2 linked regions of the Caenorhabditis elegans genome follow. The protein of the gene in region 1 purifies or fractionates together with the protein of each later gene. This does not show direct contact. Each region holds a gene or a part of one and is shown in the gene's direction. Other genes may lie near its edges.

Region 1 (3,681 bases):
CTGAAGGAGATCTGAAAATAAATTCAGATTTTACGTGCCAATAGAGTTGTACTTTTTTTTGTTGATAAAATTACTAACCATTTGATACATTTTTAATCTTGGTTGCACTCAACAAAACTTCAAGCGTATTCAACAACATTGTTAGATTCTGATTGCTAATTCTCAATCCAAACAGTTCAGCAGCCAATCCACGAATATTGGGATCACTTGTTTGTGCAGCAGCATCCATGCAATTAAGAATAATCTTGAATACAATTGGAGAATGAAGTTCTCCAGCTTGCGGATTTCTAACAAGAAGTTCTCGAGTATAAAGTGATCCACATAATTGAAAATGATCCGAGATATGAGCAAGTCGATTAGCCAATCGCGATTGAACTGCTCGTAGAGTTTGTGAAGAACATTTGATGATCATTCTCGACATAAGACAAAATCCTAGTTCTTGTTCTTTACGTGTTCGATTGGATCCAACGAGACGGAGACATTTTTCGAAAGTCTGAAACTTATTTGATGAATGGATCCATGACAGAATATGTAGGTTTTTAGATAATTCAAAAAAATTTGACAATTTCTAACCTGAATTTCGTCTTCTGGTTTTCCAACCATTGTTTCTTGGACGACTTTTCGGATTTCGGTCATCTCTGAAAGGTGTTTTTAAATTATAATATGGAAAACTAATCGGAATCATTATAGCATAGATATATTACAAATGATACGAACAACAAAAAAATTTTCAACATTAAAAAAAAGTGTACGACTCAATATTTATCCGAAATCGAGAGAAAAAGAAACGAAACAAAAGACACATAGTATTCACAAAAAACTATACTATTATCAAAAATCATTTAAAGAAATATCTCATCGACATCTATTCAAGCAGTGGCTTCTTTGCGAGCCTGTCTTTGAAGCAATCGTCGTTCACGTTCGAATTCTTTGATTCTCATGATATGATCATCATATTCACATTTATCCCAAGCTCCACGTTCTCCGTCGCACGCGTGTCCGGCAAATGGTGCATTTTGGGTCTGAATATAATAAATTATTTTTGCTGTTTTTGAGAAAATAATTTTAGATGTGTATTTTTATATAATTTTAAAAATATATCATTGTAACTAAAACAAAAATCTTACTTGGCATTTCATGAGTGAAATCAAGTGGTGAGCACAATAATCGCGTTGAGCTGGCTTCAACTTCCACTGCTCCATCTCTTCCCAAGTAGCCTTCATCTCGCGGACCTTGAATATTAAACTTTATTATATTGAATATTTATGAATTAAATGAACAGTTATTTAATGAACTTTTAAAAAAGTTGTTTACCTTTCTCGGTCGCTCGAATCCATACTGAGGATCGAAAGTTGGTGGTCTGTCGACACGTGGCGCGGTTTCTGGTGTACTGGCTCCTTCCAATGAGACGGACAGTTTAGTTCCCATCTTGGCTGAAAAAAAAGGAATTGGTACAAAATAAAGAAAGCATCAAAACTCTTCTGATATTTGAATCAACTCAAAATAAATAATTAGCATGCTTAGGGCAGCGAATGCTTTGCTGATAAGAAGTGAACAATTTATATTTTAATAATTTAACATATTTTTCCGGAAAATATTCTTCTAAAACGTTAAAAACAAAGTAAAGCTGAAAATTGGCACAAAAATTGCCCGAAATAAAATAAGATAAACAACAAGCACTTGTGTAATATCGGAGTGTCGTTGTAATCAAAGTGAGTGCGTGCAAAAAGCAAGTTTACAGCGGGTTCATTGACCGAATTTTCAATGTCAAAAACATTTTCTTATCTAAACTTTTGTTTGTTTCTGTTACTTTTCATTTTCTCACAGATGTTTCAATCATTTAAACGCTTATTACTTAGCATTTTTCGAGTTTTATAAATTTTATTAAAGTACAGTAACCATGTTTATAGATTCTTCTTTTGAAAATGGCATCCTTCCGTTCTACACTCGCCCTTGTCAATTCTGCTAAGCTTTCGCTGTCCACAAGAGTAGGTTTTTCTATTTTTTCTGATGAAAACTATTAGATAATCGCTTTTTTACTTTAAAAATTTTGACTTTTCAGACCATGGCTTCCCATCCATTGGCAGGACTTCTCGGAAAGTTGAACCACGTCGCCATTGCCACACCAGATCTCAAGAAATCATCGGAATTCTACAAGGGCCTCGGAGCAAAAGTTAGCGAGGCTGTGGTTAGTCTTTAATTTTTGTTTCTTCCTAATGTCAATAAAAATTTAGAGCAAAAATATGTAGAAAATATTTTTGTTAAATTCTTTGTAGCATAAATCAAAATAAAAATTGAATAGCCTAAAATTTTGAAATAGCATAACAAAAAACGAAAAATTTTGGAAAAACCCCTACAACTGAAAAATGAAATAAAATGCGAATGAAGCGAATTTTGTGTACTACAGTAAACTTACTTGAAAAATATTTATTTAATTACAAGTTTTTTCATAAAAATGATAAAAATCCGCAAATAAAAAATAAAATGTCTCATCTAGTTTATATTAAAATTTTTGAATTGAATAATTACAGCCACAACCAGAACATGGAGTCTACACTGTCTTCGTTGAGCTTCCAAACTCAAAAATCGAGCTTCTTCATCCATTCGGCGAGAAATCTCCAATTCAAGCTTTTTTGAATAAGAATAAGGACGGTGGAATGCATCATATTTGTATTGAAGTTCGTGATATTCATGAAGCTGTTTCTGCTGTTAAAACAAAAGGAATTCGTACTTTGGGTGAGAAACCAAAAATTGGAGCTCATGGAAAAGAAGTAATGTTCTTGCATCCAAAGGATTGTGGAGGTGTACTTATTGAACTCGAGCAGGAATAATTTGATTCTTTGTTCCCAAAATCTAGCAATCATATTATCTGTTTGACAAAGTTTTGATCTTCACTTTTTTGTGAGAAACTTCACAAATTTTAAATTTCGCAAAAGTTCTCTCAAAATTTTTTATTGGCAGCCTATAACTTTTGAAAAATCGATAATATGATATAAATTACAAAAAAAAAAACTATAAACCTTTCTTTTAGCACCCAGTATTTTGCATAGAGATTAATTTTTGATACGTTTTAATCTGTTCACATGTTTTATTGTTTCTTGTGCCATAATAATTGCCTACAACTTCAATAAATTGTTTCATTAAATTTTCAAAATATAAATTCGTTTACATGTTTTCAAAAATATAATTTGAATTTTAAAGCGAAAAACTACGAAAAAACATATCAGAAAAGAATGTAAAATTTATGGGTAATATGAAAAAAACCTATTTTCAGAAAAGTTACAGTGGATTAGGATTTGGAAAAAAAAGAAGAAAATCAAAACTGTATGAACTACACTCTTAGAAATTTCAGACTTAAGCGAAGAATGTCAATAATCAGAAATCAAAAACAAAATTACATCTATGACATAATCAGTATAAGATGGTCCCTGAGCCGTCAATCCTGAAATTCTAGTGGATATACTACGCACCTATTTGAAAGAGGGAAATTCTTTTTTAGAAAAATATTTTTCCAAATAAGACGAAAAGAATTTCAATCCAAAGATGTCCAAAGTGTTTGCGAAAAAGCTCGGTAAACATCGTTTCACAGTTTTATTCAGTTATTCAACATCGTTCAGTCTCTTTTCCTCTCCCTCGTTTCCAATTAGAAAACGACCTTTTTCGGTTCTTCAATCGATGCGC
Region 2 (3,363 bases), on another chromosome or scaffold:
GCGAGAAAAAAAAAGAGTCAAGCGCGTCCCCGGCATCTCTTTCCCGCAATTTGCGCCGCCGTCCCGACCGATTGGCGGCTATTCATAAAAAGTTGACGAACAACTAGATAGAGAAGTAGAAACAGACACAAGACAAGAAGAAGAAGGAGAAGCTGTTGAAGCTAGCTGAAGAATCCATTCTCAACAGGACTCTCCGTGGAAAAAATTAGGGGAGGAGAACAATCGAATACCGACTACACTGATTAGCAGAACGAGTATATTGTTCTTCTTTCGTTATTCTGTTTACTCGTTTCCTCGCACACTGTGAAAGCAAAATCATAAGATCGTCATATTATCATTGTCATGATGAAGCTTGTAAAAGTTATGTTCAAAAACGGTCCATCGTGAATTAATTTTGATTTTATAATATTCAATGTTTTACGTTTAGGTTGACCATATATATATATTGTAAATCGAATTGGTGATTTCTTCCTAGCAATGTTTTTTTGTATATCTCCTCTCTTCAAAAGCCCACAGTAAATCAAATTGTACCGTTTATGATTGTTCACATATCAGCACTAATCCGTTCATGAAAAAATGCTTTTGAAACCTGAAACAGATTGTTCAATCTGTTTCAGGTTTTAATTTAAAGTTAGCAGAAGGATAACTGTTAAAAGTCAAGTAGTAGGGTGCAATACGGTTAGAAGAAATAATAATGAGAGCAGTTGGTTGCATTAGAAAAAACAAAAATTAACTTCATTCCAAACATTTGCAGCGTCATGAACAATTGTTTCGTTTCTTTATCGAATAAAAAACTAAATAACTTGTTTTCTCAATTAGAATGTAATCCTCAATTTGGTATTTTTTTGAAATTTACTATACTGTTTGGAACGCAATTTGCGCTTAACTTTAATTGAAAGCCATGTATCAAAAGCTCAACGTCGTGAAATGTATGTTCATCAAATTATCTTATCTGAATTTTTCATGACATATTACAATACAAATTTTCTTAGAACATCTATAGTACAACCGTGTAAAATGGTCATACATGTTGCGTACCTAACGTAATTTCATGACGTTCTCCACCCCCAGCTGAATGCCAGATAAAAAATACCGCTTTTTTGGTGGCTTGTTAGTTCCTCGTTAAACGAAAAATACTATACGATAAGATACTTGCCATTCGATTTCACATTTTTGAATCTGTATTCACTTTCTATCCTTATCTTTTGCTGCGCATGTTTACGTTTACGAAACGGGCGGCCATGAAAGGTTAAATTCAGATATGATGAGGGGCGGGCACAACTCGCGGCCATCGGAAACAGGTTCTAAGGTTCACAGAGAAGCCCTTCACTTCTTCATAATCCGCCATTCACTTCATATTTTTCTGCGCGTGAAATCTGCTCGGATGCCATTACACTAAAATTTTATTAAACTATATTAACACAATCAGGCTCACTGGACAAAAAAGTATTTGTCCCAAGATGCAATTAAAGATCCAGTTTTCCTTGACCTCGACCTTAGCCAAACTAAACAGTAGCTAACGCGCGTTAGTAGTATAATCAGTTCTATATCACTGAAGCTGGAAACTAGTCTTATCGCTTGATGTTTGAAGAATGCCCGTCCGGCCAGACACCCAAACCGGGATAACAATCACTTTTCCCCTATCATTCACGCCTTTATTTCACAAATTCACGAATTCACCTTTTGTGAAAGATTGCAAGATTTGAATCTCACGAATCTCCACCCCCCCCCCCCCTTTTTCCAACTTCATTTCATTTACAAACCCGTCCCATTCTGCCATTCTGTTTGCATTTTTTTCTTCTTTCAATTGCCATCGGATTCAAGATAACCACATATTTCAAAAGCTTTTTTCAGAACCATGCTGAAATTGGTAATAGCGTGTCTTCTTCCTACTGTTGTCTATTCGGCAGTTCAATGTTATGTTGGCCAGAAATTATTCTCATACGAGTCCACAAATGTAAGTCAGAATTTTCATACTTCTAAGAATTTTCTAATTATCAAACTCTTCTAAAAGCCAGCAATTTAGGCGATCTGTGCCAAATTCATCCCATATACGTGTGCGGTGCAATGCGAATGGCGCAAGCAATGTAATGAACATACGTCGTTCTCCACTTTCCGCGGACGTCGCACTTTCGTTTCTGGCCTTCTCCTCAACTCGAAATCCTTGATGGTTTTGTGTTGCGCTTCATTGGCTACTAGAGTGGAGACAGGTGAGGATAATGTAACAAGTGACTAAGACTCACATCGGCGAGAAACTCAAAAACTAGCTGCCATCGCAAGATTAACACGACCAAAATGTTGCGTTTTGCAGACAGCAGCGGTCGTGAAAAGTGTATCTGGAGAGACACCGAATCCATTTCCGTCCTTGGTCCATCCATCAGAACCAATCCGGTGTTGGCACCAAACCACTACATTCGGTAAGCATTCTCTAGTTAACTAGCATTTTCTATAACAATCACTTTTTAGTGACGTTAAAATGGAACGCGACGGAAGCTCCCGTGTTGATGTAACAATTGAAGTTTGCCAATATCAATCAGAAAGGGATCATTGCAAAATTGATGTAATTCATTAATATAGTTAACTGTTCTTACTATTCCATGTTACAGGAGATGAGTGAATTCGAAAAGAAGAGATTCAATGTAATCAAGGGAAAGCTTGATAAGGCTGCTAATGAGAACGGCGTCACAACGACAGAAGCACCGACGGAAGTGAAAAATGAAGACGATTTTCTCAACAAGAAGCTCCTCAATTAACTAGTTATCTCATCTACAGCGTACCTCTTATTTATGTATAAACATTGTTTGTTTTGACATCCTAATAAATATATAAACCAACCCAAACTCACCACATTTGCTTCGTTAAAGTCAAATCTGCTTTTCTTGGGAGCCGTATCACGGAACCCGCCTCGTGGGGCCAAGACAACCTGGAAAGAAATTAATTTTCCCAGTTTGGAAAAAGTATTTTTAATATCAGAATGCATTGTAAAAACAATTATTTTGCGTTGCAATTTTCACAGTACAAATACTTCTTCAGTTCAGTTGGTTTGTATTTTCAGAGACTAATTTGCAAGGGAAAAAATTGAATGCTACATGTTTTCCTCTTGCTGGGATTATGATTCAAACTACCAAACGAAAACATTTAAAATGCGGAATTTATAAAAAAGAGAACTAGACAAGTTCTAATTAAACGTGGTTTGCAAAATTACTAGAAATCTTCTGCCTTGAATTTTTTGTTTTTAGTTTCTGTCTAGATGAAGTTTTAAACAAAGTTGATAATTATCAAATGTTCCAAAAAAAGTGTAAAATATACTATTTAAACTATAACGTTTAACGAGTTCTGAAAAACAATTGCTACAATACAATT

The links. The genes of interacting proteins can lie anywhere in the genome.
Region 2: the proteins of mce-1 (region 1) and ZK154.1 fractionate together in Caenorhabditis elegans (co-fractionation; one large-scale study listed by BioGRID). This does not show direct contact.

The regions. Positions count from the first base shown.
Region 1 is NC_003279.8:7,580,196-7,583,876, forward strand, and holds mce-1 (Methylmalonyl-CoA epimerase, mitochondrial), read left to right. Parts: upstream 1-1,910; 5' UTR 1,911-1,925; coding exon 1,926-1,988; intron 1,989-2,062; coding exon 2,063-2,188; intron 2,189-2,531; coding exon 2,532-2,831; 3' UTR 2,832-3,138; downstream 3,139-3,681. Other genes in the region: D2030.3 (Fanconi anemia group I protein), read right to left, coding at 1-11, 79-493, 574-636; ndub-7 (NADH dehydrogenase [ubiquinone] 1 beta subcomplex subunit 7), read right to left, coding at 870-1,022, 1,128-1,232, 1,315-1,428.
Region 2 is NC_003284.9:7,777,768-7,781,130, forward strand, and holds ZK154.1 (Apple domain-containing protein), read left to right. Parts: upstream 1-1,809; 5' UTR 1,810-1,858; coding exon 1,859-1,957; intron 1,958-2,026; coding exon 2,027-2,210; intron 2,211-2,311; coding exon 2,312-2,417; intron 2,418-2,466; coding exon 2,467-2,560; intron 2,561-2,606; coding exon 2,607-2,753; 3' UTR 2,754-2,840; downstream 2,841-3,363. Other genes in the region: ZK154.4 (uncharacterized protein), read right to left, coding at 2,846-2,923.